2 linked regions of the Anolis sagrei genome follow. The protein of the gene in region 1 interacts with the protein of each later gene in a biochemical or structural test. Links are inferred from orthologs where the notes say so. Each region holds a gene or a part of one and is shown on either strand. Other genes may lie near its edges. The genes, in order: ANGPT1 and TIE1.

Region 1 (16,819 bases):
GTGTCTTGATATTCTATCTATCAGTGAATATAAACATTTCATCTTTCCTACTTCCTTGTTTTCATCAACCATCAGAGAGCACAGAGGCAATAATTCTAGGGATGCTGAGCCTGGGGATTAATAACAGATTTAAATGCAGCAGTTAATAGCTTTGACAAGCATTTGTGCTGATCTGTTGCTTTTCAGTAGTATGCAAACACAGCAGCCTGCTGATGAGTTTATAGCAATCCAAATGAAGAGTTACAGACACCAGTTTGAGACATGTGGTAGTTCTGACAATAGGTCACTAGGGTGCTATATTGTCATGAAGGATACCATAGTAGAAAAAAAGAAAGGAAATATATAATGCTTTCAGTGTTTTATACCACCTAGCTATTCTGTGTTCTATTTATATTAGGAAATGAACTTCATTGACTACTGGAAAGCTATTGGCCCAGGGCATAAATCACACGAGCTCTTAAAGACAGAAATTCCAAGAATAGTAGCTCAAGTTTCATGCCCTAAATATCAGGATACAACACCTTTCCTCGTGGAATTACTGCTGAAATAGATGACCCATGTCATCGTCTTCATGTAGGAAGTAGAATATTTAGGAAAGAATATAAAAGCCTGAAAAAAGAACACTAATTTTTTTGCATGTAGTATTATTAGCAGAACACAATTGACTTAATTTATCACACTCACAAACATTAACTAAAGTGATCCATAGCCCAAATCTATAAGGTACTATATATTAAATCCAGAAACAGTTTCCAGTAAATGTAGATTTCCCCAGTGTATATTCTGTGGACACACCAAAGACAAGCATCGGAAGCAGAAATCCAAAACCAGAGCTCTATTCCTCAGTGATAGTATGTGACACATGGACACTTTCCAACATCAGCTAAAGTTATCTAGAGCTGGAATTGGTCAGAAGGGTCAATGCCACTTTAATTTCCAACCTCAGAATGTAGGCTTCAGTTTGATACACTAAAAGCAAGAGATTCAGATTTTCACAGTAAAGAGTGTATTAAATATAAACATGGTGGTATGACATTCACACATACGTTACCCTCCAGAAGTGGCTGAACAGCATCATAAAGTTTAATTTTTGCAGCAGTGCACTTGGCCTGTGCATCTCTAGCCTCCGTTATGGAATTCTAATCCTAGAATGGAGAACATAGGGAGAAATTTCGGTCACCTTAGATAGGTGGTTCAGTAATGGGTAATCCTCCAAAATGTTCCTGGGCTGCTATTCCCACAGTCCTTCACCATTGCTTATGCTGGCCATGGCTGATGAGAGTTATAATCCAACAACATTAGATGGAAAGAAAAAGGAAGATAGAAGAGGACACATGTAAAAGGAAATCTATGTATTGGAAAATGTGTTGGGGAGCATCAAACATATTTTGTACATACTTCTTTAGGGAAAAAAAGCCCCCCCTCAAGTGATGAAAGGAATATAATTCCACTTGTCCTCATCTACATACAGTATGACCCCCTATATCTGTAGTTTCATTTATCCACAATTCCTCAAACTGTTGGAGGGCCGGATTATAATTTGAAAAAAAATGAATGAATTCCTATGCACACTGCACATATCATATTTGTAGTGCAAAAAACACTTTAAAACAATATATAATTAAAATGAAGAACCATTTTAACAAATATAAACTTATTACTATTTCAATGGGAAGTGTGGGCCCGCTTTTGGCTGATGAGATAGGATTGTTGTTGTGTGCTTTCAAATCGTTTCTGACTTAGGTTGTCCCTGAGCGAGGGCCAGGTAAATGACCTTGGAGGGCCAAATCCGGCCCCTGGGCCTTAATTTGAGGACCCCTGCTCTAAGCAAATTCTAAGTCCTCCACCATAAATTATGGTATGTTTCCATTGGAAGTTGGGTTGTGCTGAAGGGCCTAGAAATGTTGGGTAGTTGTTTTGTTTTATGCTTTTTTAAGTTTGCCAGCACAATTGTATGTTCTACTTCTACCCAAAGTTGTTCATTTCAATCGGATTTGCTATGGTCCACAGTTTCTTCTTTCTATATGAAGTCCAGGAATGTATTCTCCAAGGATATGGAATTTTTTTTACTATATTTTGTATTAAGTATTCATTGTTTTGTGATTGGCATTGGAAGGTAACACAGACTTTATTTTCAAGCCCAATAGTGAAGGTACATAAGTATTTCCTCAATGTTTTGGCTCTCCCTGGGTGAAATAAAAGAAAAAACTACAGTGGATTTGGAGATGAAGGAAAAAGGAGGTAAATGAAGCTTTCTAAATTTCTATGCAGAGACAAAACACCTCCTGAAATAAATAGGTTTGCATGTGTCTAACCCAAAAGAGGCTAAGCCAAATGTGGCTGAAGCTCAGGCATAAATGACTTCCACATTCGCTCTTTTTGTGGAACCACTATTTGCTATTCACTTACATTCTAAGACAAATCCCAGTGATGGTGTTCTTGAATGATTGTATTCTGTTTTCCTTCTGTTTTTAAAAGAATGGATTTATTGGAATTATTACATTTTGGTTATAAAATGCAGTCCCAGTCTGTCCAATGTAGTCTGAAGAAAGCTTTATGAGAGCTTTTAGGGAGAATCATTCCTTCGAAGGAAAGCTGAAATGCTATTTCCAGGTTCAGTCCATTTTATTACTCTCCCTGGCCAGCCCAGAGGAGAAATAATTATTGCATTTTCAGGAATTTGAGAATCTAAAAAACTGGGTATCCTGGACTATATTTTCATCAAATGCTCATTTTCTATTATCCACATTTCATTGGGGGAAAATCCCTGACCCTCCATGGAACAAGAGAATTATTTTTTTCAGATTATTTTTGTAAATGGAATATCTTGGACTAAATGTAGAGCTAGCTATTCCTATTAACTGTGGAAGTCTTTTAACAACTGTGACAGTCCCATCAGTGAGTGTGTCTCGAGTGTCTTTATATAGAGAAATGGAAAGATAGATACACATGACTGTATTTCCTATATATAAAGTACTCTTTCTTTTTACAGGGCTCAGAATTTTCCTTTTCATGATACTCATATACCCAATGCATGTAGCTAAAGTCTGCATATAAAAATAAATATAAAATGTTGGCAACCAAGGAGTGTATAAAAATGTAAGCGATCTTTCATTAATAAGCTTCCTAGCTTAAATAAGAAATAGCTGCAATTCTTGGATGTGAACTTTGTCTCCCTCTTTGTCTCTTTCCCCCCCTGTGTCTGCAGAGTTGTTTACTTACCTTCTAATCCTGGGTAGCTGTCTTTTGCTTTAACTAGTGCTGTTTTTGTGCTCCAAAATAATTCACAACTGAGTCAGGAATGGACAGGCAAGGCATATTGGGGAGTAAAGGCAATGCCCATGTGGTTGGAAAATAGGACTGAAAATGATTTTCATCATAAATGTGTTTTCTACTAAGCCATTTTGAGTTGTTTAAGATGAACTGCATGTGGAGGGGATCACATATTTGAAATCTTCCCTTAATGCAAAACTCTCAAAATGTGCAAAATTAGCATTTCAAGGAAAACAGATTTTGAGAAGAGCTTTCTACTTTCCTTACATTGCTGCTGTGTAAAGTACATCTCTGCATCTAGTGTGATTCACAACTTTTACATTGAATGGCAATATAAATGGACCAAGGTGGGAGATCTGCAATGAAAAGTGCAATGAGCAATGCACTTCCATATATAATGTGCATTCATGAACAATCGATCCATAAGCACAACTCATTTTCTGCAACTTTGGACTGAACGAAGCTTCTCTTCACCAGACAAAAATGGTAAGCACTTCCGTAGGAGAAAGTATGTGCATGTTAGACACCATTAGGATTCAAGCCTATCTCATAAGTCGTATTCTGAAATTATTGTGATTAATCTCCTTCTCATCCTATTTTTTCAACTGCTTTCAATTTTTTCCCAGACAAAAGCAAACTGCTGCAGATTTTCTTAATTTATACACTTTTCTGGTACTGTTCCATTATCTGGGTGGAGGCCAAAAGGGGAGTCAGAGGAAAATAGTCCATTTTATGGAGGAAGGGGAATTGAAGGAGTAATACTGTTTTCCCCTGTTTTCCTGTTATCCCCTCCACCCATATTGCAATTATCAAAACAACTCTAGTTTATTACATGGGAAGCGGGGGATAAACAATAAAAATGAGGAAAATGTTTTTTCTCCTTCAACTCCCTCCAGCATAAAATGGACCATTCTTTTCTGTCTTGGACCCCTTTTGGAGTCAATCTGTATAATGGAACAGTACCGCTTTTCCTTATTAATAACTGCTGCCATCATGATTATTCTGTGATATTGACCACGTCAAATACCTCATCTTCATCTGTGGTATGTTGAAGGGTATGCTAGATCAATGGATTGTGATCCACTTCCTGCAGTCTGGAGTTGTACATTTTAGTCATACAAGTTAGATCGTGCAGTCTTACCCAACCATGTCACTTATCCAAATCAGGCCACATAATTAATATTTTGCTTTTATGTAACTGGCTCCAAGTTCATGTGTCTACACCAGTAAATAAAGATACAGTAAGACCCACACTGCAAATAACTCAAGCTTGTAGAGGGAAATGGTCATTCTAGGTCTTCTGAAAAAAATGTATGGTGTGCTTGTCTGGTAGTTATCATACAGTTGTTGTGGGAGGACCTAGGAAAATCCTAAAGAGGATACTTCTCTAAGAATCTCTAGGTCCTTTAGCACAACCCTATGGTATGCTGTGATCAGAAGTGAGGTAATTTAATGGCATTTGGTTGTGCCTGCAGTTTCACATAACTCGAGTATTACACTTACTAAAAGTGCTCTTCATCCACTTGCAGTTTTTGGTTATAATTTATTTTGTCCCTATAAAACATTATCTCTAACAGTACAGTATTTGGTACATCAAATCTGTATGCATGTTGTGATGAATTGCCTACCTCTTAGGCCAGAGGAAAACTCAAGAAGTAGGCCCAAGTATTTCAGCAGCCATTTTGTGAGATGGTGCATGGAGGCAGCCATCTTAGAGTACTCATTTCCTAGAGGGGGCGGAACTTAAGAGCAGCCTGGAGGAAAATGTGGAGAGCCTTTGTGATTGGCTGAGAGAAAGTGGGCAGAGTTTAGTTAGAGTGCAGAAAAAAGTTGCCTGAAAGGGTGCATTTTAAAATCTGACAGTTTAGTCAGGGTTTCATGGTTGAAGAAGAAAGTTAGGTTTTGGGAAAGTTAGGAGAGGAGAAGTTAGTGAAGCCAAAGTGGTTAGTTAGAGAAAATTGATAGCTATTAGGAAGAATAGCTAGTGTTGAGATAAACAGATCCAAGGGAAAGGACTATTTGGTGTTTTAGGAATTCTAAAACTAGTGAAGTCTGCTAGTTTGCTAACAGAGTGAAGAGTTGTTTTTGGAACTATGTATTGAACTGTTTTAAGGAATTATAAGTTTCATCTCATTATTGCAACCGTTACACATAAGTGCCTGTATTGTTGAAGTTCACACAAAGAAACAACTTTGTTCTTTGTTCATCAACAACTGTCTCAGTGTGTCTCTATATAAATAAGTATTCTTCACAAGATAGGGAAACAGAGTTTCCAGATTGGTGGCAGCGACATTTTAAAGGAATCTCATTGTTATTCACCTCAGAGTTTTGAGCCCTGAGTGTGAATCCAGCACATTCCAGCCTAATTAAACCTCTGGTCAAACAAGAACTGAACTTTCCTTTTTAAATTTGGTGGTAGCCAGTGGTCACATGAAAGTTACCTCAGAATACAGTGTATTTGTGGCAAAGTCTCTACAGCCTCCAAGCATTTAAGCCATTTTAAACAATAATCTATCACACATGTGTTGCTCACATTAATTTATTTGCCCTTTATTTGAATGAAAAGGCATTCCAGCAAAAAACAGCAAATGCAAATAATAACCTCAGTTCAGCCATTGTCTTCCTCCAACTTCTGGTAATCAGGAAGTCCTACCACTCTTCCCTACAGCCCTAATTAGCCAATTCTCCTGCCTTTGTGAGTAAATGTGACATTCAGAGATGTTTCAAGGGGCTGGCCACCCACCCTGAGTGGATGCTGAAGCAGCCCATTGCAAACCCATGAATCGGGGTTGATTATCCTTATTGGACTCCAAGAGGGAGAGGAAAATCAACATTGCTCATCTTCTGTCACTGCACCACAAAATAGCATGGATACAAATGAAACAAATCCATGGAGGTTAAATCTAACAGTAGTTATTAGCAATCATGACTAAATGAATCCATAATGTTTAGGGAAATTATACTGTGAATTAGGTTTTCAGTCATAGGATAATTGTAACCACATCCCACCAAAAATGCTTGCAATTCTTTTTCAAATCCTCCCACTCCACATGACAGTAAGAGCTCTTCAGCAGACTGCCCCAGAGACCAGTGAGTTGTTGTGTTTTTGGATGTCTTAAACAGAGTCTGGATGGCCATCTCTCAGGGTGCATTCATTATATATTCCTGCAGGGCTGGTGTTGGGCTACATCGTTTGTGGTATCCATTCCACCTCTACAATTCTATCATCCTAATCTGTTATGCTCCCCCGCCCCCACTCCCCTGATTATTTGTTTTGTTTAGGGATAAGAATTTGGCATTAAGTGAAGTTTACACACATCATAGTTTAAAATGTCTGCTATTCAAATGGACCAACTGTGTGTTAAAGACAGCTTAGTTCTACCTCTAGCCCTGTTGTACATCTGTTATTTTTTTAACTTTTTTCTTGTAATAATAGGAAACAAGGTAGGAAGAGACTGAATATTAATCTTCCACAGGGTTGCCATGATTTGAAGTCAACTTGACTCAAGTTAGCAAGAACATCACCCACTGAAAAATGACCAAAACCTTGTCTAATGCATTTGTTGTATGTGATATGGCATTCCAATGGATAAAATCATGCACACCCAGAATTTGCGTGTTTATGTATGTGTATATCTCTGCTTCAATCTAAACCAAGACTGGATCTACATTGCCATATAATGCAGTTTCAGAATACAGATTAACTGCGTTGAACTGGATTATATGGCAGTGTAGACTCAGGCTGGCTCTACACTATCCTATATCCCAGAATCTGATCCTAGATTATCTGCTCTGAACTGGATTATACTACACTGCTATATATTCTGGGATAAATAGATAATCTCTCATCAGATCCTGGGATATAGAGCAGTGTAGATGGGGTCTCATATAATTCAGTCTGATTCATTTAGGACCTCTTAACACAGAAGTTTTTTAGCCCTGTTTTTCCAGTTGTCGATGGGGGCTGGACAGGATCTACCGAGTATCATCAGACAATGGTGGCTTGGCCCTACTCTCATTCCTCCCGAAATGGGGGGAAGCATCACAAGACACTTCCTCCTCCATGGCGAAGAGGAAAGTGTTTTTTCAGGTAGGTCTGATGGAGCTACCTGCACTTTCCTCCACTCCCCTTAGCAGCAGCCCCGTGTGTTTTTCCACAGGACTGCTGCTAAGACTTGCCATTTAATCCAGTTAGCTGCAGTTATTTCAAGAGAAAGGAGGGCTACAAAGCTCCCATCATGTCCTTGACAAGTTGCTATCAGTTCACACATAGTAAGGTGACAAACGTTGAGAAAGGACTTGTTCTACTTCTATAAAAGTTGCTAATGGAATGTCACACAGAGATTGGACTTTGTGGTATGATAGGCTTTTTGACCTAAGGTGTTCTTTGTGGTGAGCCAGCACTTGCAAGACATTTCTGTGCACAGAAAATGAGAATAATCAGTGGAACACTCCAAATATCTAGGACACTATTTTAACACATTTGTTTTGTCATAATTAAGTGCAGTGCAGCATATCAATTCATACCATTGGATGTGATGGGCTTCTTTCTTAAAAAGCATCATGCTAGTCTGTGAAAGGAACAGCAGGGGGAAAAAAACTCTGGTCATCAACGTTTAATGTATATTCAAGCAGCATTTGCATATGCACATAGCCACTCGTTGGATCAGGGCCCAAGTGCCTGACATCTTGCAATTGATGGGAAAACATATTTTAATTTTTGCATCATCAGCTATATATATGTGGTTATTCTTGTATCAACATGCAAAAGAGGAATGTATGAATGACATTTTCCTGGGAACTGTTTGACAGCTTTTGATTTAATCTTATCTATTGCTATGGAAATTATGGCTTAATTAATCAAAGCAGAAAAGGACTGATTTCGTTCCAAGGATGATCTCTATTCTGTTAACATGCATTTCCTTCCCCAGACTTTGACTTATATCACAATCTACTCTCTGATTTAGCCTTTCCGAAGAGAGCCACACAGCCACATACTCATTATACAATAGCAGATATTTTCCATGTGCAGCGGTCTGTATGTTAATGTTTACTGGGGTGGGGGTTAGTTTATAACAAACTTGGACCCAGTAAGTACATTTTAATAGTTCAGTCTGCCCATAGGAAGTCTATTAAGGTGGACTGTTTGACTCATTAAATTTTGTCAAAGGCTCTCAAGTTGTCTTGTGTGCGGGAGGAGCCAAGCAGCAGAGTATGTCTGAGGTTGTGCTTCAAGCCAGGAGTGTAAGATGATCTCTCTCTTTCCCGAGCCCATCAGGCATCCTTTAGCATAGGGACACACTCGCACACACATTCCTATCAAGTCATCTTGTGAAAGACTGCCGGCTTCCAACTTGGCTTGAGTGTGCAACCTTAATAAAACACGCCAAGGTCTGCGAGAAAATAGCAGTTCAGCCGCAGCTAGGGCAGGAGAAAGAGACTGAGGCTATGCCTAGGCAGCTGACTCAAAGACGCTGCATGCTGAAGTGTAACAGAGAGGAAATGATAAATCCCAGCTACTATGCAATAAATTGCTCCAGCTTCAGCTAAGGAAGCCCTCTGTTATCATGAAATAGTTTTTTTAAAAGATAGTTATTATCTTAATTTTCTTTTCTTTACCATTTTGTTCCCTTAAAGAGATCTTTAAAGGCAAAGCAAAACAAAACACAAGAGGGAAAGGAGTGAAAGTGTTTCTGTTCACACACACAAAAGAGGGCTAGTAACATGACCGTTCTCCTTGGCTTTGCTTTTCTTGCTGCTGTCCTGACTCACATAGGCTGCAACAATCCACGCCGGGTGCCAGAGTCCAGCAGCACAAGGAGGTATAACCGGATTCAGCATGGGCAGTGCACCTACACTTTCATCCTTCCAGAACAGGATGGGAACTGTCGCGAAAGCACCACTGAACAATACAACACCAACGCTCTCCAGAGGGATGCCCCTCACATGGAGCAGGATTTCTCTACCCAGAAACTGCAACGCCTGGAGCATGTCATGGAAAACTACACTCAGTGGCTGCAAAAGGTAAGTGCTTCATCCCACCCCCACCTCCCACAACTTCTCACCCACGTTGTTTTGTGTTTTGATGTTTGCATGTCCTAAGCTTTTCTGATCCAGGAGGTATTTCTCATGAGGTTTGCATTGTATATATGGTTAGCAAATGTCATAGTGACAACATGCTGTTTGTTGTGAGATAAACTGAGAACAAAGCTTTAAGCAAATTTCTAGATTTTTTCCCCTTTCTCTTCTAGACTTTGTGGAAGAAATAGTCTCTGCCTATCTTGCATGGATAGCTATAAGTAATTTTACCTTGACAGACCAGGTCCATATCTCTATTGGCATATAGTAGAAGCAGGTTCTAAAAATTACACACCTTAAGTTTGGATGCATATATTGTCAATTGCTTTGGCACAGACACATCATTCCAGGTGGATCAAGATAGATGGAAAAGATGCATTATTTAAAACTGAAGTTATTTTCATTTATCAACAATTTTGGTTGAAACTTATGCTAAAGAAGTTGTATTTCTGATAAATGAATGAGTTAAAATAATTGCCCAGTGTATTGGGCTATAAGAAAGAATTGTTGGGATATTTCATGTGTGGGAGGAAAGAGGGATTGGGTTAAGCAAAAGCTCAAATTGATTAGTAAAATGTGCTTAAATAAGAATAATAACACAGCTGGAGGTCCTGAATAACATATGCCCCATATTTCTTTGTAGAAATCTGGCTAGGTGAGGGGGGTACCTCTCACAATTAATCACTGTCATCCTAACATCAGCTTATAATCTGAATTATACAAATCATTTCATCCTGAACTGAGAGACTGCAGTGTAAAAAGCAGCAATTCTAAGATCTGCTAACAAGTGGTTTGGATTCACTTTAACAGATCTTGGAACAAGTTCAATCTGCCAGGGATTCTGCATTTTTTCTAATTTTCAGGTGCAAGTCCCCAATATGTGTATTATATTATTAAAACAGCTGGATGGAAAAGAGAATCCTATGCATGTTTCAAAAAGTTAAGTTGCACTTCAAAAAAAGCAAAAATAAAACTGTAAAGTAAGACTCATCATGATCAATACGATTTACTTCCATGAACACTGCATAGAATCTGAAGCTTTTGGTACAATATTTTCTCACTTGGGATGAACCATAGATATAGAAGATACTAGAGCTTGTTCACATTGGGATTTTGGGACTATAGCTCCCAGATTCCCCAAACCATTCTTGGCACAATAGGAGAGAAGTATACTCTATATTCCCCATGAAATGTGAAAGTCCTCCACCTTCCCTCTGAACCCAAAATCGTTTACTTCTGAGCAGAAAAGTGCATGGTGCATGAGTCGTTTCTGAAGCTTTATCATTGAGGCCAAGCTGTCATTGAGCATAGCTTTGGGCAGAGCTATACTCAATGAAGTTCCTTTTCAAAGATGTGGAGGGAGAAGTCATCTAGCTCAACCCACTGCTCAATGGATATTGTGGAATGTAGGAGGCACCTATAATTTTCTTGACTGTCAGTGATCAAACCTTTGCTAAAATGCTCTTTACCAAGTCCATTAGCCCAAAGTGATCTGTTCTACTGCTGAAATGATACTTAGGAACTTTCTTCTAAATTGTGGTCACTATCCACCACCTTGCCATTTCCACCTTCAGTCCTACCTTCTGAAATGAAAGTGAAACTTTTCATATGGCATTCCTTCCTATGTATGAAAGCGGTTATGCACCATTGAATTTAACAAGGTTTGGTTTCAAGTAGACAGTATAGAAGACTGCATTGTGAATGATCTATAATGAGACTCATCCGAGATGAGGACAACTAAAATGATCAAGGATCTGGAGAACATGCCCTATGAGGAGTGGCTTAAAGAGCTGGGCATGTTTAGCATGAAGAAGAGAAGGCTGAGAGGAGACATGATAGCCATGTATAAGTATGTGAGATGAAGTCATAGGGAGGAGGGAGCAAGCTTGTTTTCTGCTGCCCTGGAGACTAGGACACGGAACAATGGCTTCAAATTACAAGAAAGAGATTACATCTGAACATTAGGAAAAACTTCCTGATTGTGAGAGCTGTTCAGCAGTGGAACTCTCTGCCCCAGAGTGTGGTGGAGGCTCCTTGTTTGGAGGCTTTTAAACAGAGGCTGGATGGCCATCTGTCAGGGGTGCTTTGAATACAATTTTCCTGCTTCTTGGATGGCCCATGAGGTCTCTTCCAACTCTATGATTCTATGATTCATTTTCATTGAGAATTCTCTTCCCTGACACATTGCAGCCTACAGAACACCTCTGAAAGAAAGCACTTGCTTTTTGTGTTTTGACGTAATCTGTTTACAATTTGATGTACCAAATTTCTTTTCTCTTTTCATCAGCATGTAAACAATTTCACTCAGAAGCATAGCTCTTGGATTTCATAGGGGGGAGGATAGCAAACCAAAATGGCTAGACAGTCTTGAAAAGATTTACTCAGAAAAATAAGCCCTATTAAATGGGTGAGAGTTGCTCTTAGTTCAGTGTATATGTGCATGTGTGGGTGTATGGGAGACTGTAGCCAGCAACTGAAACCAATCCTAAATAGATTCTTTTGGAAGTTGGTACACTGAATTCAAGGAGGTGATTACTTCCAGGTTTTGTGGTGGTGGGTGGGTGGGGAAGAGTAGCCTGAAAATTGCACATCCAGTTTTAGCAAGTAAAGGACAAGAATGAAGAGGTAGACACGGGAATTTTTGTGACATAATGATTGTTATTTTGAGCTATTTTTTTTATTAAAAAACCCATTATGTCCAAGAGTAAAAGCTGTTTCCTGGAGCTAGTAGTGCAGTTGGAGTTGTGTACATTTGTATGCATCTTTGTGTGTTGGCGTACATGTATGCTTTTACATTTGTTAAAAAAAGGTTGCCCTGCAAAATTTCATCTAATGGTTCCATGTTCTGTGTTTGACCACTAGGGACTGAGCTAAGCCCACTGTTTTGCCTGCAAACTGCAGAGGAAGAAAAATGACTTTGGTGGGGAGACCTCCTCTAAATTGCCATTGACCCTCAAGTTTTAAGAGAAAAAGATAGATGGTTAAACATGTAGTTAGTGACAAAATGGTATCTTCATGGCTCACATTCTTCAGCGGTTATCTGAACTTTGAAAGTAGGTGAAAGGTTTCCCATTAGGTCCTTTAAAAGTAGCAAGTGGTCAGAGATCACATATCTTTGCTTTTCAGTTTTTGGCAGAATGAAAGGACATGCTTTCCAGGGTGTCTGTATTTGGAAGTGGGCATTAGGGAGGGACAAAATGGGTCATTTCAATGCATTTATTTGTGTACATTGTAGCCTACATCACTACATGAGCCACTCATTGTTTTGCTGCTGTCGGCGCAAACCATTTAAACCACAACTTTCCCATCCAAGAAATGAAACTTTAATTGGAAAGAATATATACTTGAGAACCATCGAAAGCTGCAAAATTAAGGTAATGTCACCTAATAATTTTATGCTAAAGTAATCCGTTCCAATTATATATTTATATTTATATCCCACCCTTCTCCCCACAAGGGGGACTCAACGCGGGCTCACATGAGCATCAGAGGATGCTAACAGCATAAATACCATAAAAATTACAATTCACAATAAAATCATTTTAAAACATTATACAATATCATCAGTAAAATTTAACAATAAATTAATAAATTAATGTGCCAGTAAAACCAAGCCGAGCCGGGAGAATCCAGATTGCAAAATCCAGTTGTGTTAGTATTTGAATGTAATATAGCCAAAGATTGAGTAAATGGGAAATACTAGTCCCAGAGCTATGGCCAAAGTACATCATTATAATTGTGTAAAAAACCCTATCCAGGTTTCTTACATAGTGGGTTTTTTTTAAATCAGTGCTTGTGTCTATGTGCACTCTTAAATCTTTGCTGTAGCATATCACACTCATTAAAACTATTTAGCATTAGAAGACATCAGAACATATTACTTCTATTACAACATATCCCAAACACAAGTTTTGTAGAGCTTGGAAGGGAGACGGACGACATAAAAAAGAACTGAAGTATGGATTGTTTAACTAGGAAGTTGACATTGCAATGGTCTTAGCTTAGCTAATCTGGAAGAAATGCAGTTTGATCTTTTTTTAAAAAAAAAGAGAGAGAAAGAGAAAGAGAGTAGATTTTGGAAAACAAAATAAATATTTTAAAACCCTTCTTGCAATGAGCTGTCACTTCAAATCCCGCTGAAGAGTTCCGTGCCTGACTGTAAGCAATTAAGTTTGGGTGTCGTCCAGTGAAATTTGCATATCCTTTGTTGATGTTTAAGTGATTGGTTGGACAAGGGACCAAGTTAGGAGTGTCACAAAGAGCATTTTTGCTGAAACTACCAGAAGATGATAGCTTGATAAACATATTTGCAGCTTTTCCTTGTGGTATTTATTTTAAGAAGAATAACTTCACTTATCACTTAACCTTTGGTTTCACAACTGCCATGTTTCTTCTAACAGAGTAAAACAGACTACACACTGTTGTGTTTATTTCTTGCAATAACTGGCTATCATACAGCATTGAAATGCTTAGGTTGTAATTTCCTTGTTTAAATATAGTCAAGGAATAGATTTCTGTAATTTTTAACTTGGCAACTTTTCAGGATTTTTCTTCCCCATGCTGAACTTACCCAAATGTATTGTACAACTACAAATGGTTTTGCAACTATACAGATGTGTGTTTATCAAAGTATCCCTCTGCACACTGTCTGTGTTTGCATAATATCTAGAAGAGAAATGGATAAAGTAGAGCATTGACAAAATGTGACTAACATTTTTAGCAATTCTTTTATTATCTACAGAAAATTAAAAAATCCAGTAGGTCTGGGCTTATTAAGATATGGACAGAGTAACACAGGGAGCTGCCTTATATTTAGCTGGTCCATTCGCCCATGTAGCTGGTATTTTCTATGTGGCCCACATGGATTGGCAAAAGATGGCCCATGGGATCCATGTGGCCTAACCTGTTTTTGCAGTTGCCAGTTCCCCAAATAATAATCCCTCTCACATTTCAAAAACAGGAGAAGCTGTCTTTTAAAGGGTGGGAACATGAGCCATCTCACTGACAGCAGTTCTCCAGGGGTTTAACCAAGGGTCTTTTCTAACCCTGTCTTGAGATCCATGGTATTCCCTGCTGGTGGACTATCCAAATACTAACCAAACTAGTCATGCTGAAATTAGAAGCAAAGTGGAGTGAACTGCTCTCCTTCAAAATTCCATAAAGTGCAATTTATTCTCAAAATGAAGTATAGGACCTTCACACCTTGTTCCCCCTCATTAAGGTCAGTGAAGGATAAATTTTATTAATGTTTCCCCTGTTCTACCTCCTTAGAAACTGAAGTTATGAAGGACTAGTTCCTGAAGGAGGCTGGCACTTGCTGTAATTCCAGACCTCCCCCAGACTTGGTTTGATACCAAAAACTGACACACATCAATGCTATAAGATAAGCTATATTTCTGGTAGATTATGCAGCAAGAGAAAGCACCACAATCCCTCAGCTGGTGGGGTCCAGCATTCCCTCACAGCAGGTGGTATGACTTGGCCCTAAACACTAATGCTATCCAGACTGTCCCATGGCTGATTTTCAAGATCTGCATAGATGACTATAGATTCGTTGAGCGGAGATGCAGCCATCTACCCTAGGATGAGGCTGATGAAAGATTGAAACTGAAAGATTTATAGTGCAGAAGCAAACAAATGAAAGTGAAGAGTAAGCCACCTCCCATTCCTATGAGAACTATATAAACAGCTTAGTAATAGAAAAGCTAACTTTCTAGTTCAAGCCCTGTTGCTCTGTTAAAAAAGGATTGTGAATAGCCTTTTCTGGAAACCCCCAAAGATAGAATTTTACCTTTCCAGTACTCTGTCAGGATCCCATATATTGTTTAACATTCAGAGAGATCTGTTTTTCAAAACCAGATCTGGACCTCCAGTCAGTGCTTTTGTACTTTTTGTAATTTTTATCACTCTATGTGGATCCCAAAGAGGAGAATGCCTCCTGAACACTCTGCTTTTCACCATTCCAATTATTCTGACAGATACTATTTCCTTATTATCCCACCCCTGATAGTTGTTGCCCACCACTTGCTATGTGATACTTTTTAAATATTGGTGACTCTGGAACCTGGGATCTTGTACATGCAAAGCATGAACCAAGCTGAAGAAGTCTTTTTTATGAGCTCTGTTGCTCAGGGGCTTCAATGGAATGTCCTCATGGCAGGACTACTGATGGTAAGAGAGCTGTCACTTGGAGTTGGTGAGAAATTAGATTTCCCCTGCTGCCCATGTTGAGATGCTTACACCTGCAGCCAAGAAAAGAGCCAAGCTGTCAACAACCTTACAATTATATAGAAATCAAATTGTCTCATAAACAATGCTGTTTGTATCCAAATATAAAATAGTTGGCTGCTTTTAACATTCAAAACATCTTTCTTCTATTCATGTGGCTGAATGTTGGTAAAGGGCTTTACTCATGCAAATTCCAGTTACCCGCAGAGATACTCCAAAGTGCCCACAACAAAAGTCAGGAGGTCCCCAACATGGAAACACTTAAGGAGTGGTAAAAACAGAGAGCTTATGTACTTGGGAAGAATATTTTAGAAAAGGCACACAAACAGACACACACATGCCCTATATAACAAAAAGCTTTTGAAAAATGCCAACTTCACTTTTGGCTGAGGTTGGTGTTATTGTTGTATCCTCACATTTTCTTTTCACTCTCTGAATGTTTCCCAGGCTTTGAGGAAAGCCTTGACCATGCAATCCCAACTTACTTATTTTCATTAATAACAGCAGTTGGTTGGCCATTTGTGTTAACACTAAATCATACAGGACCATCAGTCAACAAACTTGTCAGTAGAATGTCCCTTTGATATTCTTTTTGGGAGATCTCCCCAGCCTTTAAGCGACAGTGTATATTTTGCAAATGAAAACAACCCCAAAATGGTGAAGAAATAGAATACAATCCACCCTCTCAATCTGCTGTAGTTAGGGGCACAGGATCCCCACAAGTCTAAAACTGCAAAAAAACAAACAAACAAAAAACCCATGTCTTCTTTTCCTGAGAAAACACCTCCCTTGGAATGTCTAGATCCTCCAGCAGGACTTTATAGTCGACCTCCAGAGAAAGCTGACCATAGAGTCACACTAAAGGATACAGAGGATCCCAAAGAGAACATTTTAATCAAATTCTTAAATGATCAGATCTGTAGAAGTTAAAATCACAAATGTTGAGGACTGGCTATGGTCTATAAACTTCCTGACCCATCAAGAGGTCTGCATGTGGCAACATATATAGTCTTGTACCATTGATACATGGACAGTTTCCATATACATTTGGAAGTGCATTTACAATTGCTATCCCCACCTCCTTCTAAATCTAAGCAACCCTATAATGAAGAAGGGGACCATTTCTTTTGTTTCTAGGGCAAAATCTCCTTCACTGCATTGGGAATTAGATTTAGCGCATTGTTCTTCTTTGTTCAAAGCAGCACATCTTCATGCATTTAGCTGTCACTGATCAAGTATA
Region 2 (16,260 bases), about 160 Mb from region 1:
CAGATCTGGACCAAATTTGGCACACACTTCACGTCCTGATATAGTTTGGGGGAGGATGGACAATGAATGATGGGAGATGCAGTACCTTTACTCATTTCCTGAGACCACTGTGACCCTCAACAATGACAGCTCAGGACCAAACTTCAAATATGGGCACGTAGAGTCCCCATGACCCACTCTACATCCTGGTGCACTTTGGAGGAGTAAGGACCATGGATGATTAGACTTGTAGTACCTTCAATCACTTCCTGAGACCGCTGTGACTCTCACCAATGACTGATCAAGACCAAACTTGGCACACAGAGCCCCCATGACCCACTCTACATCCTGATGCACTTTGAAGGAGTATGAACCCTGGATAATGGGACGTATAGCACCTTCAATCACTTCCTGAGACCACTGCAACCCTCACCAATGACTGATCAAGACCAAACTTGGCACACGGAACACCCATGACCCACTCTACATTCTGGTGCACTCTGAAGAAGTATGGACCATGGATGATGGGACTTGTAGTACCTTCAATCACATCCTGAGGCCACTGCGACCCTCACCAATGACTGATCAAGACCAAACTTGGCAAACAGAGCCCCCATTACCCACTCTACATCGTGGTGTAGTTTGGAGGAAGATGGACCATGGATGATGGGACTTGCACATGGGAGTTGTAGTTCACACACACCCACTGAACCCAGCTGACATTGGATCTAAACTAAATTTGGAGCACAGACAAACAATGCCTTTCTTAAATAACCTGGGCACTGCTAGGTCCCCAAGCTAGTAAAAAATAAAAATAGCACCCAATAATTTTACATGCAACAACTGAAGTTGTTTCAAGGTTAGTAGAGAATGCATAAACAGTTCAAATTGCTAAGTTGCCAACAAGAAAAACAAATTAATACTTGGAATCTCCATGAAAATTTGTGGCAATTTTATCTCTTTCTTATCTTTTATGTAGCCAAACCAAAAATGGCCACCATATATTACACAACCATTGATACAATTCAAAAGAAAGTAAATGAATTCTGCAAAAGAGTTCCCAATTTCATTTATTGACAAACGTTTCAGAAATCTGCACATGGGAATGGTTAGCACATAGTAGACAATGTTTTCCATTTTATGTTGGTCATAAAAACATTGTCTGTTTTCAAATAGTACCTTATTATAACTTCGTCTAAAATGTCAAGCCAATCAATCCTCTTATAGAGTTAATGACCTCTCACATGAGTTTTCAGGGCACATGAATGGCATGGAGACTCTCTGCTGATTTGATTACTCACATGCGGTGCATAAAACCAAAAGAAGGCATTTAAAATTACTCTAGCCAACATGAGATGGTATATAATATAAATCATGCAACACAGTGCTACATGGTATCACAATGAAAGACCACTGTGAGCTCAACAGCATTTTATTATGTACTATAAACAATATCACATGCAGTGATAGGATTTAGTGGTTCACATATATGGGGAATAGAGTCTATGGAAGATCATGCCATATGCTGGTCTTTAAGGCACCACAGGATATCATGAATTGAAGGGGCCATTTTACTTTGTTATTAGGTTTTTTTTTCTGTAGTAGGCTAACACAACAGCTACCCCTTTAGGAGAGGAATTTTAGGCTGTTGTAAGCCTTATATTCAACATTTGATACTTCTCAGAAACTTATAACAATGTGAAAAACTAACTGTATACAAAACATTCAAGATAAAAAATACAAATAGCACCAAATAATTTTACATACAATCACTGAAATTGTTACCGAGGTTAGTACAGAATGTATCACCAGTTCAAATTATACATGAATGATCAATGAATATAAATGGATTTCTGAGTTTTCAACAAGAAAATAAAATTATCAGTTTGTGTCTCCATGACAATTTATGACAATTTTAGGTCCGGGCTGTGGCCAGCTGCATTAAATCACTACTGACCAAGAGGTCATGAGTTCGAAACCAACTCAGGTTGGAGTGAGCTCCCAACCATTAATAGTCTAGCTTGTTGTTGACCTATGCAGTCTGAAAGACTGCATCTGTCAAGTAGGAAATTTAGGTACCGCTTTATGCAGGGAGGCTAATTTAACTAATTTATGACAACATAAAACCTTCCAGCGGCATGCATAAAAATGAGGAAGTACTCCATCAAGGACTCGGTGTCACAAGTGGACGGTGAAGTGGCAGCTCCCCCTGTGATCAGAACCGAGCATACCCTCATGAAGCCGGAAAGCTGGAATGTTAAATTGCCTCTTTGTCTGTCTATATATGTTGTATGTCTAAATGGCATTGAATGTTTGCCATGTATATGTGCATTGTAATCAGCCCTGAGTCCCCTGCGGGGTGAGAAGGGCAGAATATAAATATTGTAAATAAATAAATAAATAAATTTATGACACTATGTGCATCTTGCTGTTGGGTCTGTCTCCTCCCTTGCAAGGTTGTTATGGAAATGAATGTGCTGAATACCATAAGGTGTATTTTGAAAACTACCCAAGGTCTTCTAAAAACTATTAATTAAACAATTATTCTCTATGTGTATATGTGTGTGTGAGAGAGAAAGCGAGAGATGCAAGGCCTTCAAGTAATCTTAATCTGTTCCAAACTCTAGGGCCAATCAATACTGACCCCATGACTGATCCGGCGTAGTGTATGCCAGATCAATCCGGTATGGTGTTCACAGCTACTACTCCTGTGCATGCAGGAGGGAGTCCCAACCACCCAGCGGTGCCAAACCTGATTTGGAACCACCAGACAGCCATCCTTATCACTCCTTCCTGTTCTCCATGTCATTGTGGTTGTTCGACATGTCATGGGTCCTGCCAGTCAGCAGTTGCCTGTACTGATGCCAGCCTGGGCAACAGGGTGATAAGGCAGGAGGGAGAGGAAGAATCACCCACTCCTCTCCACCTCTCCCCATCATCCTGGCTGACATCACTGCAAGTGATAATTTTCTGGCAGTACCCATGTCATTTCCAAATAGCTCTACAACATGGAGAAATAGAGGAGATTCTGAGTGCCATCTTGTGCCCCAAAGTCACATACATTGTATGGCACTGTAAACAACTGTAGCCAATTCTGTTTTGGAGCCATCCCAACTGTTTATATGGCACGAAGTTGAGGGTTGCTCCAAAATCAGGGCACGAATTCAGAGTATCCCATAACTTTTGACTGCCATGGAGCTGATCTGGGTGTCCTTCACAAAATGTAGTCAGTGCAGATGTGGCTCTGGTATACTCTTAGTTTGAAGACAGTGTAGTGTATGCCATGAGTGTTGGAGGGGAACTCCAGAACAAGAAGATTTTAATCCCTAGCTATGGAAATACACTGGGTGACCTTGGGCGAGTCACTGTTGGTCATCCCCTCTAATTAATGATGCCATGAAAACCCTATGACGAGTTTGCCATAAATTAGACTCAGCTTGAAGGCACATGACATCAAAATCATCCAAACAAAACTAATAATCAGAAATGCAATTCATTTTAATCCTGACTAATACAGGCATATACACAGGTAATAATTATTCTTCTTGTTTTTCTGTTTAGTAGACTGAAACCAGGGGAAATCTATATAAATAAAAATGTAATGTTCTTTTCTGGGATTAACATAACTCAAAAACCACTGGACGAATTGACACCAAATTTGGATACAAGACACCTATCAAGCCAATGAGTGACCATCACTTAAAAACACAGCAGAAGGGACTTAAAAAGCAAAAAAAAAAAAAAACCATTACAACGCATGCGCATACACATACACACGCAAACACACATATATACACAAATATGCACACACGCATATATACATACACAAAAAACGTACACAGACCGGGCCACAGCAACGTGTGGCAGGGGATGGCTAGTAAAAAATAAAATATGATGTAGCAATAAAAATTTATCTAGCAACTTTCTTAACCATCCCCAAATTATCAGGATTTTCAGCCTTGTGGGGTTTTGTATTTTGAAGTCTTAAACAATATTATGTTAGTAAAAAGTATAAGTAAAAGACAGGAGCTGCAGTGGCACAGTCGGTTAAACTGCTAAGCTGCAGCACTTGCTGATCGGAAGATCAGCGGTTCGAATCTGTGGGACGGGGCGAGTGCCTGTTGTTAGTCCCAGCTTCTGCCAACCTCGCAGTTCAAAAACATGCCAGTGTGAGAAGATAAATAGGTACTGTTTCGTCGGGAAGGTAACAGTGCTCCATGCAGTCATGCTGGCCATATAATCTAGGAAGCATCGATGGACAACGCCAGCTCTTCGGCTTAGAAATGGAGATGAACACCACCTCCACAGAGTTGAACATGACTAGACTTCATGTTAAGGGGAAACGTTTGCCTTTTACAAGTATTATTACTACAGCTGGTCCTCCACATTTGTACGTTTGACTTTTGTGGATTTAAGTTATTACCAATCATATCTACAGGTTTGTTTTGTCAATCATCATCAATCTCCCATTTTCTTAAACAACAAACAATCCAGACTTCTTATTGTTGTTAATGCGCATGACACTCTATGGTAGAGAAATCCTTGCCACTAAGAAATTGCAATCTAAGATCTATGACATTTTATTATATATTGGTTTTATAGTATACATATTATAGTAGCATTACCAAAACTGGCATTCTACGTCCTAAGATGAGGAGGAAACTTAGTTCACAATAACCTTATACAATAAAGGTGATTTTTGCAACTTTTGTATTGGTAGATGCTATTGCAATATTTAATCACATGCCTTGCTTTCTCTTGTCTGAATTAATTAAACAATGGAATGTTTGTTTATTGTTTAGGAAGGTAAGACTTTTTGATTGTATGTATCTAGCTACGTAATGTGTTGAGAAATATTTTGAATTTTGTATTGTTGTATAGTTGTATTAATAAAAAAGAATTTTGGAAAACCTCTTAGCACAAAAATATGTGCCAGTTAGTGCTTGGTTTGTTGATTTTCCCTAGCACAGAAGGAAGTCCTTATCTCATACATAAAAACAATATTATTCTTTTGTCTACCCATTCAGCATAGTTTGGAAAACAAATAACTAAACTACTAGCTAAAATATTTATCCTTGTATTTGACTGAATCTGGAATGGCAATTGGAGATAGTTTGAATAACCAGACTATTCAGAAACAGCCTTTTGTAACATTCCTTCATGGTAACCATGGTATTGTATTGTAGGTATTGTAACATTCCTTCATGCTAACCATGTCATTTGAGCACTTACGCAGTTAGTAAATTCTATTATTTTAGACTAAGAATCCTAGAATTTCCTATCAGGCACGAGAAAAGAGTAATCTCCCATCTCTGATCAAAATTTGCATATGTAATTACTTCCCATTTCACAATTGTCTACGTGTCAATTCTGCACTATTTCCTGCTTGAAAGTTGATAAATTATTCAGAAGTTGGACTTGTAATTTTACCTTAAGTCGCGTATCTAACTGTACAATGCACTATCTAGAATGGTGCCTTGTGCTGTAATACAATTAGATTCTCCTTCTGCGGGTGAACCTGCACTATAAAATTAATGCAGTTTGAAACTCATTGAATCAATGCTATGGGACCATGGAATTTGTAGTTTAGCAAGGTACCAGAACTCTTTTGCAATGAAGGCTGCACTGGTGAGGCAGCCGGGATGGATGGGGAAGACACTTTATTACATTATTTCCATTAGAAAAAGGGACGTGCCAGGAACTATACAGTGGTAAAACCCCGCAAAACTCTACTGACCATAAATAAAAGAAACACATGTACAAACATGAAGTACATCAGGGGCTACAATGTCTCTACCTTCCCTTTTTGATCTCTCTTAAAAACTGATACCAACATGGCAGCTTTTCCTTTCACTTAAACATGTGCTTGATTTGCATCACAAATGGCAGCAGGAATTATCTCAGAATGTCCATTGCGCAGGAAATACCACTGAGCTGACTAGCATCAGGGAGACTGTCTTATTTCCAGTCTGCATTCATCATACTCATATCTGGATGCCATGATTCAATCTTTGTCAATCCCACCATGAATCAAACCAATCTGTATCATCTGGACTAAAGAAGAGATCAGAACTATCAATTTTTGTAATTCCCCAATGTCTCAGTGAAGTCACTGCCTCAATAACATGGTTCAAGTTATAGGTAGGAATACATCTTTAAACAAATATTTCTGTGAAGTTCAAGTTAATATGGAAAACAGATAAAATGCATTCATGAGAAAACAGATATGAGACTGATTGAAAGGAAAATCATACTTACATCCATTATTACCGCTTTGCATGGGTTCAGTATTATGTTGGGAGAGGCGCAGCACATTAAGCTATATGTTATAGCCCTCTCCAATATTATAGCTCTTTCCAAAATTATCCAATATTTAACGGATGAAAACCAGGACATGTGTGTCCAAGCAATATCAGTGTATGGTCAAGCTGGCAAACATTATTAATGAGGAGGAACAGAGAGGCTAAGAGAGACTGCAGCAGTTTGGTTTTGCCTGAGCCTACTGGGAAGGGAAGGCCATTATCCTCTTCTGCTGCTTCCTGGATGCTTTTTTCTTTGAATTCAGGCCCCATCCGCACTGCCATATAATTTGGTTTTGGAATCCAGATTATTTGCTTTTAACTGGATTATATGGCAGTGTAGACTCATATAATCCAGTTGAAAGCAGATAATCTGGATTCAGAAACTGAATTATATGGCAGTGTAGATCCAGCTGGTTAGCTGAAGACAAAGGAGGAAAGGGAGAGAATTAGTAAGAAATTGAGATTTTGAAAGCAGCTGGAAAAGCAAGGCACTTTATTAGGATTTTTTAGGACCATTCCTGTCAAATTTGGACAGTTGGAAGTATGCAGTTTTTAGGGTAGCACTGAGCAGTTAGACAATGCACCTTTAGATTGTTTTAATTAGGGGTTGCTGGAGAGCACCATCCTGTCCAGCCACCTAAAATCTCAGATCTCTCAGATTTTGCTAAAGGCAGGTTTGATCTTGCCACAGATTTCTAGTGACTACCTCTTCCAAGGGCCCATTGAGGTAGTGGAGGCTCCTTCTTTGGATGCTTTTAAGCAGAGGCTGGATGGCCATCTGTCAGGGGTGCTTTAAATGCAAATTTCTTGCTTCTTGGCAGAGGGTTGGACTGGATGGCCATGCCATGAGGTCTCTTTAACTCTATGATTCTATGAGGCTCCATTTTCTTTGGCACTAGAACATTTCCCAGGGTGGGAGAAAGTAGAGCATATGTATGTGACCACTAAACCTTTTGAAGACCCTTATCCCACCTTTCTTTTTTCTTTTCTTTTTTTGTACAAATCTGACATTATCTATTACTTCTGAAGTCTGACAACAAATCATTAGATGTATGACAGTGTGTGAGGAAAGAAAGTAAATAGACTATGAATAGGATAGTCAGTATCTTAGCCACTGTGATAGTCTTTGTTCAGCCAGTACAAAGACCTTTTTCTTTCCTCCAGATTTTAATTCTTTTAGGTTTAAAAGCTTCTTGCTGATCGATACACAGCTGCTGTCCTCAACTATTGCTTCTACCCTTGGCTTTAGTCTATGGCTGATTTAAGTTTGTTTTATGCATTAGAGATAATGTCTTATAGTTACAACTTTCATGGTCTAAACCTTAGGCATTTCTATACTGACTACTTAAAGTAATTTTCAAACTGGTACTGAAGAAAGGGGTTTTGCTGTGCAGATGAATACATACAAAATCCCGGAACCAGTTTGAGGTTGAAATGGGGATTATACAAACCACAGAGCACTGATGTGCATTAAGGGCTTTCTTTCATGCACTATCAAGAGCATTTGTTGGCTAAACACTGCGGTTTGAAACTAGCTCTGAACTGCATTAAATGGTCAGTGTAGCTGTGGCCTTATTTTTGGAACTGATAACTGAGCTTCAGCCAGTTAAACATATAAAGGAAATACAAGTAACTGAAATAAATAAGAAAGGGCTTTACCTGCCAGTTGTAATAAGAGGCTTAGAAGGCAAATCCTGTCCAGTCCCATTTTCCAGGATGCGCTCAATGTCAGGAGCATTCAGGCATCACTAATCCAGAAGAGGGAAAAGCTCACAGAGGGAATATTTGTCATTTTTCATTCCCAATATCCATCTTCTCCACACTTGGCATGTCTGTGCCCTCAAGTCCTTTGTAAGAACTGAAAGGAAGTTCACACTAGACTAAAGGGATGATGGGGAAGATAAGTTTTAAGAGGAAATGTTCTTGGCTTGCGCCATCAGAGACCTTCACAAAATGTCTCCGCTGAGCTTCATGGAGAAAATCTCAGGAAATGAAAAAGTGGCTTCATTCTAGCTATCCAGAAATGCTGGGTTTCTGTTCAAGGAAGCCCAATTGCCCTGGAAATCAGAGTGCCACTTCAAAAAGACCTTCTGAGCCCAACATTCAATGCCATATGTAGCTTTGGAGGAGGTTTAATCCTGCTGTTTCTTCCATGCCGACCAGGGAGCATTGGGATAGGGACAAAAGAAAAACTCTGGGCAGCACAGGAATGGGCTATGGGTGGGAATGGACTGGGCAGGACATGAGCTGGAAGAGTCTCCTTGGCTGGGGTTCAGCTGGGGCGGGAATGCCTGGAGGCCCTCACCAACAGAACTGCAATGACATGAAATCCTGTTTCCCATACAGCGTTTCCTGCTCTCCACCCATTGTTCCTTGCATATCTCTGCCTCTTCCAGGGGGGAGCAGCTTGAGAGGTAACTGGGCTGAAATACTAATGTTGGAGTGAAAAAAGACCACAGCATTCACATTTTCTACATTGAAGGCTGAGCGGTTTGAGGAGCTCTACTGCTGATTAACCCTACTGCTGATTAATCTATAACCCATGAGGCAGTTAACTGTGGTCCCAGTGGTGCAGTGGGTTAAGCTGCTGAGCTGCTGATCTTGCTGATTGAAAAGGTTGCAGGTTTGAATCCAGAGAGTGACATGAGATCCCACTGTTATCCCCAGCTTCTGCTAACCTAATAGTTCAAAAACATGCAAATGTGAGTAGGTCAATAGGTACTGCTCCAGCGGGAAGGCACTCTATGTAGTCATGCCGGCCACATGACCTTGGAGGTGTCTATGGACAACACTGGCTCTTCAGCTTAGAAATGGAGATGAGCACCAAACCTCAGAGTTGGACAAGATTGGACTTAATGTCAGGGGAAAACCTTTACCTTTACTATTCACACCGCAGAATTAAAACAATTTTGATACCACAATAATTGTCATGGCTTAATGGTATACATTCTGAGATTTGTATTTTTGTGAGCTATTCACCCTTCTCTGTCAGAGAGCTTTGGTGTCACAACAACAAACTATAAATCTCAGAATTCCATAGGATGGTGTTATGACAGTGATGTCAAACTACTATAATTTTGCAGTGTAGATGGTCTCTGCATTTCAGTTGGATAATGCAGGGTGGGCCTCTATGAAGCAATGACCCAGTCACTTCAGTCTGGTCATGAGGCTACACATTATCTGGGTATGTCAAATGATTGAAGCTGCATCCACGTATAGGTTTGCATGGAACTGAATTCTGGGCCCCTAAGATAGAGCTACTTTCCTGTGTTCACTCTCCCAGTATAGAAAAAGATTGATGTATTGTTGAAGGCTTTCATGACCGGAATCACTGGGTTGTTGTGAGTTTTCTGGGCTGTATGGCTATACAGCCTGGAAAACTCACAACAACCCAAAAGATTGATGCTTTATAAAGATGTGATTTGACTACATCCTTGGGCAGTTCACACTCTCTCAGCCTCAGAGGAAGGCAAACATAAGACCCCTGCCCCCAAACAAATTTTGCAGAGAAAACCCTATAATGGGGTCTCCTTGGGGTTGCAATAAGTCTGAAATGACCTGAAGGCAGACAACAACAGCAACAACACAGGAGCAATCTCAGGGAGGGGCTTTACAGAAAACAATAGCTGTAAACATGTTTGGGAGGAAGTCTAAGGACATGCTTAGCCAGTTTTCACTTCCACACTCCTAGAACTTGCTTACAACCCAGTAGTGTAGTCACATCATGGCTTATTTCAGCTTCTGCATGCAATGAATAACACTAGTTATGGGGCACAACAGAATGGGATAGAAATGCATTAGCTTTCAGTGTTAACTGTTTGATAGGAACGTGAAATGAGTTGAAAGAGTCCTCTTTTTCACTCTGATGCTTTTTCTAGCTTTTTAAAAATGCCTGGTTGGGAAAAAGATGTTGGCCAAAGTTGGGCTGGCTCCCTGAAGCAGTGCTGGTGCTTTCCCATTGACTTATCTATGGATCATATCAAAGTTCATAATTTTGGCCTCAAAATCTGTGATTTATATTTGAGGTCAAATGAGTGCAGTTGAATCTTACCATTTTCAGATTTAACTTTTGCAGGTTTCATTATTAACAGATTTGATCATAACGTTCTCCCTAGGAATCTCCAGGGCTCTTTCTACACTGCCATATTAAATCCAGATTATCTGTTTTGAACTGGATTATATGGCAGTGTAGACTGATATACTCCAGTTCAAAGCAGATAATGTGGATTATCTGATTTGATAATCTGGATTATATGGTAATGTAGAAGGGGCCTAGGTCATCTGATGCAACTCTTTCTGCTGGAAATCGATCACAGTCATTCTGAAGGATTTAGAGATTCCTAGAGAAAACATCTCTTTATAAGTCTCTTGGTCCTTCTGTTTACCTATTCTCTCAGGTTAAAAAAAGCAGTCTTGTTATTTAAAATTCTTCACTTTTGTGTGGGTCCTGCATCCCTAACCTCAGTGAATGTCAAAGACTGTATTATAATATGTGTTATGGAATTTCATGAACCTGGAAATTGATGCTACCTTGCTGGTCCTTAGTCATTTGTATTATTAGAATTAATGTTTGGAATAAAAATGGGAAATCAAAGCAAAATTAATTTTGCATCAATTGCCTGTTAATTTGTATAGATATCAAAGATGCTTCTTTAGTGGCTGTGGGAAACACAGGCATTGCTCATAGCAATTTCCAGGCAAACTTTAGGACCATTGGGAAGAAAGCCAGATATGGACTGGGTGGCCTGGCACAGTCTGAGGCTACATTTTATCCCTCTGGAAATCTAAAGCAAGCACAGGCAGGAAAGGGAAATTCATTCATTGTTTCCGACTATTGATATGGAACTCAGGAAATCAGGTGCCCTTGTGGAATAGCAGCGTGGGTGAAATACAACAGGCTCAGGCTCCATCTTGCCACTCCAGATTCTACTATTTGCCTTCAGCATCTCTGTTGTGATAACTCAATGTCTGGTGAAGCATAGAATAGCACGGTGTGCTTCTTAAATAGTTCCTCTTCTTGACTAGTCCATTGTGTCATGTGTCTGCCATAAAATATAAATTACTTCACAGCTTGTTTCCTTTTCAAAAAAAACACATAGCTTTTTGTGTTTCTTTACTGAACTAATACTGAGTGGGTGCTTAATTGGATACATGCATAAACACTACCACCCCCAATTTGGGAATGGAGTAGACCATCTGACCATGACCCTTTAAGTATGCCTTGGGCCTCCTGAAATGGAAAGTTAGACCATCTTCAATCACTGAGGACCAGACAAGAACACAACCTAAATCATCCTATTTGGTTTGAGAAAGTACCTCTCTCATGCAAACAACAAATAGCCAGAGAGAAGGTGGAATTACATTGAATGGAGATAAACATGTGGCAAATAAGATCTGAGTATACAGTCCCAGAGAAGGGCAGGTGGTAATCAGTGATGGGATTGAGAATTTCTAGCACATACTCTAATAGAGCGTACATTTATGGTTGTGTTGCCGAAGTCCTCAGCTTTAGAATGGAAGGCCAGTGTTGCACTGCAAAACCACTTTCCTATAAATGAACCATCAACTGGAGTATATTGTCAGGTGACACTAGCATGTTGATATACATTTCTGATGGAACCTGCAAAGGGCCCCAAGGCTATTTTGATCAGTTGAGTGATTGAATGAGGCCAGAAAGAGTTAAACCGATTGGATTTAGAAACAGAATCATAGAGTTGGAAGAGACTCCATAGTTAGACTCCATCTAGTCCAACTCCCTGCCATGCAGGAAAAGGATAAAGTACCCCTGAAAGATGGTCATCCACCCTCTGTTTAAAAGCCTCCAAAGAAGTAGTGTTCATTATACTCTGGGGCAGAGAGTGCAACTGCTGAACAGCTCTTACAGTTAGGAAGTTCTTCCTAATGTTTAGGTGGAATCTCCTTTCCTGTAATTTGAAGCCATTGCTCTGAGACCTAGTTTCCAGGGCAGCAGAAAACAAGTCTGCTCCCTCTTCGTTATGACACCATTTCACATATTTATATATATATCATGTCTCCTTTCAGCCTTCTCTTCTGCAGGCTAAACATACCCAGCTCATTAAGATGCTCCTCACAGGTCATGGTCTCCAGACCTTTGATAATTTTAGTCGCCCTCCTCTGGACACCCTCCAGCTTGTCAATATCTCAATTGTCAATTGTGCTGCCCAGAAATGGATACAGGTGAGGTCTGACCAAAACTGAATAGAGAGGTACCAGGACTTTCCTCAGTCTAGACACTATATTCCTTTTGCTGCAGCCCAGTGGCTTTTTAGCTGCAGCATCACATTGTTTGCTCATGTTCAATTTGTTGTCCACAAAAACGGCAAGATCTTTTTCACATGTATTGTTGGCGAGGCAGCCGCCACCCAGTCTGTATTTTTGCATTTCCCTTTTTTCTGCCTAAGTGTAGTATCTTACATTTGTCCTTGCTGAAATTCATTTTGATAGTCTTGGCCCAGCTCTGTAATCTGTTAAAGTCATATTGAATTCTTTTTGCTATCCCTCCTAAATTGGTGTCATCTGCAAGCTTGATAAGCATTCCCCTTAATCTTCATCTAAGTCAGAAGTCCCCAAACTTTTTATACGGGGGGCCGGATTACTGTCCCCCAGACCGTTGGAGGGCCGGACTATAGTTGTTTTTTTTTTTTAAAAAAAACAATGACCAAATTCCTATGCACACTGCACATGTCTTATTTTGCTACTGTTATGAATCGTAATGTAAATATCTGATATGCAGGATGTATTTTTATTGTTACAATCTGAACATAAAGTATAGTGATTAATCACAAAAACAATATGTAATATACATTGTGAAATATTTATTTCTAATTACAAATAAATGAAATTTGGATTTCAAGCATGTCACAGCATGTGTAACAGTCTTAATATAACAGCAGGGAATCCATTTAAAAAAAGGGAATCCATGAATATGTTTACTGTTCAGCCTACAGTGAGGACAAAACTACATCATTTGTTTGTAACTTGGGGACTGCCTGTATAAGTTGGGTCACAGGGGGTCACAGAGACGACTGTACAGAAGAAGAATACCTGGCAAAGTCAATGAAAGATTAAATGTCTCTGATCTTGAATGCTAAGCAGGGCCAGTTCTGGTTTGTATTTGGATGGGAAGCCACAAATGAATAGCAGGTGTTCTATTTCAGAGAAAGAAACTGACAAAAGAAAACCCTATTAAATTCATGGGGCTGCCATAAATAAAAGGAGAACTCTACACACACCCAACCATGGGCTGCTGAAAGCAATATAGGTATACATAGAAAAAGATAGCTTTCACATTTCTGAAAATAAAATAGTTCCAATGAAAATGAGGAAAAATATATATTTTCTGTCATTTTGAAAGTGGTTTTTTGGAATATGTAAGCATGAGTCCCCTTTCTGGGGGAGAAGGGCAGGGTATAAATATAGGAAATAAATCTATATAAATAAAAATGTAATGTTCCTTTGTGGGATTAACAGAAATCAAAAATCACTGGACACTTAACAACCCAATGTATGTCCTTCACTCAAAAAATTGATTTTGACATTTGGGAATTGTAGTTCCTGAAATTTATAATCAAAGAACATTCTGAACCCCCCCCCCCCCTACAACAATGGAATGGAACCAAACTTGGCACACAGTTCTCCCATGACCAACAGAAAATACTGGAAGAGTTTGGTGGGTAGTGTCCTTTGGTTTTGGAGTTGTAGTTCACCTACATCCAGAGATCACTGTGGACTCAAAAAATAATGAATCTGGACCAAATTCTACACGAATACTCAATATGCCCAAATGTGGACACTGGTGGAGTTTGGGGAAAATAGAATCTTGACATTTTGGAGTTGTCGTTGCTGGGATTTATAGTTCACCTGCAATCAGAGAGCATTCTGAATCCCACCAATGATGGAATTGAACCAAACCTGACACATAGTTTTCCCATGACCAACAGAAAATACTGGAAGGGTTTGGAGGGGAGTGTGTCCTTTGGTTTTGGAGTTGTAGTTCACCTACATCCAGAGATCACTGTGGACTCAAAACAATGTTGGATCTGGACCAATCTTGGCTGGACCAGGCTTCTCCTCCCTCCCTCCCTCCCTCCCTCCCTCCCTCCCTCCCTCCCTCCCTCCTCTTTCTCTCCCCTTCCTTCTTTCCTTCCTTCCTTCCTTCCTTCCTTCCTCTTTCTCTCCCCTTCCTTCCTTCCTTCCTCCCTTCCTTCCTCTCCCCTTCCTTCCTTCCTTCCTTCCTTCCTCTCTCTTTCTCTCCCCTCCCTCCCTCCCTCCCTCCCTCCCTCCCTCCCTTCTCTCCGTGGGGACACCGGGCCAGGCACCGCCTCCGATTGTTCTCCTGCACAGTTGGGAGGGAAGGAGGTGTCTCGTGGCCACGGAGAACAAGAGAGCGCAGCAGAAGATCTGCGGCCATGAAGCGCCTGCTGTTCCCCTCCCAGCCGTGCGAGGAGAACCAGCGGAAAGGAGAAGGAAGGGGAAGGGGAGAGAAAGGGGGAAGGGGAAGGAAGGAAGGAAGGAAGGAAAGAAAGAAAGAAAGAAAGAAAGAAAGAAAGAAAGAAAGAAAGAGGGAGAAGCCTGGTCTGGCGCGACTCTGCCTGAAGCCACTCCGGAGGGAGAGAGAGAAACGGCAAGGGGCTTTGTGCCACCCAGCCCAGGCCACGCGGGCCGGATAAATGCCCTTGGCGGGCCGCATATGGCCCGCGGGCCTGAGTTTGGGGACCCCTGATCTAAGTCATTAATAAAGATGTTGAATAGTACTGGCCCCACTAGTCACTTCTTTCCAGGATGAAGAGCAACCATTGCTGAGCACCCTTTAGCTTCAGTCGCTTAACCAATTACAGATCCACCTAATGGTAGCACTGCCTAGCCCACATTTGACTAGTTTGTTTGCAAGAAGATCATGAGGGACCTTGTTGAAGGCCTTACTGAAATCAAAATATGTTACACCCACAGCATTCCTTGCACTTGATGACAAATGCCTCTGTCTTGTCTGGATTCAGTTTCAGTTTGTTCTTCATCCAGCCATTATCTCCTTCAGGCATTAATTCAGAGGAGATGTGCTATCCTTAGCCGAGGCTGTTTTTGAAGGTTGTTGATAGCCACCACTATCTGGAAGAATTCTAGGGATGTGAAATTCTTTGACAATCAAACCTGGCTCTAATCATAAGTCTAGGCTACAGCACATCACTTGCCTTGCTAGAATAAGCCTGGTTCATGACTACCTAGAACAGTGGTTCTCAACCTGTTGAGGACGACTCCTTGCCTTCAAGCTGATCTGACCTGCAGTGGGGAGTTCTGAAGTTCTCTATTGCCTGCTTGGGCCAGCTTCCATGGAATGTGGCCACAGCAGCAGCTTCAATCAAGAGACTTTCTTTCTGCTTCACCCTCTTCCCCTACTTAACATTGTAACAAATCCCCCCAATAAAGTATCAATTAATTGTAACTTTTTTCTCTCTATAGTGTTACTTTGTGTCCTTTACTGCCTCCAAACTCTTCACTTCATAAACTTTCTCTCTCCCGAGTTGCAGACAGCTGCTAGCCCACCTGGGATGCGATTTTCGCGTCCTGGGGAGGCCGAAACTGTGTTCCTCTGAACCGCAGATATGGAAACCCATCGAGTCCTCGTATCTGTGGGTCAACGGGTTGCTCCAAAATCAGTGCCATTCTTTTCCTAGACTAATTCTAAGACTAATGGCTATCTTGCTTTCACTCCGCTAACCCCTCTGCCCCGGGAATAACAATTTTTGCCTCCAAACCTCAACATGGAGCCCTGCTGGCTCCCCGCTGCCATGACTTCACTGTCTTGTTGATGCCTGGAGAGCCTGTTGACCTGGGGAACCTGTTGCGGTCATCCCTTGGGACCTCCAGGAAACCGATATGCCACCCTGGTCCTTGACAAGATGGGATCTCTAGTTTTCTTCATTTTCCAACATGGATCTCGACCTCCAGTGCTGGCAGTCAC

The links.
Region 2: the proteins of ANGPT1 (region 1) and TIE1 interact in a biophysical measurement, tested with the Homo sapiens proteins (2 studies listed by BioGRID and IntAct, with this or other methods). The link is inferred for Anolis sagrei from reciprocal best matches to the Homo sapiens genes ANGPT1 and TIE1.

Annotation. Positions count from the first base shown.
Region 1 is NC_090024.1:27,699,889-27,716,707, forward strand, and holds the start of ANGPT1 (angiopoietin-1), read left to right. Parts: upstream 1-8,507; 5' UTR 8,508-8,997; coding exon 8,998-9,297; intron 9,298-16,819. UniProt on the Homo sapiens protein: Binds and activates TEK/TIE2 receptor by inducing its dimerization and tyrosine phosphorylation.
Region 2 is NC_090024.1:183,094,990-183,111,249, forward strand, and holds the start of TIE1 (tyrosine-protein kinase receptor Tie-1), read right to left. Parts: upstream 8,565-16,260; 5' UTR 8,020-8,564; coding exon 7,941-8,019; intron 1-7,940. UniProt on the Homo sapiens protein: Transmembrane tyrosine-protein kinase that may modulate TEK/TIE2 activity and contribute to the regulation of angiogenesis.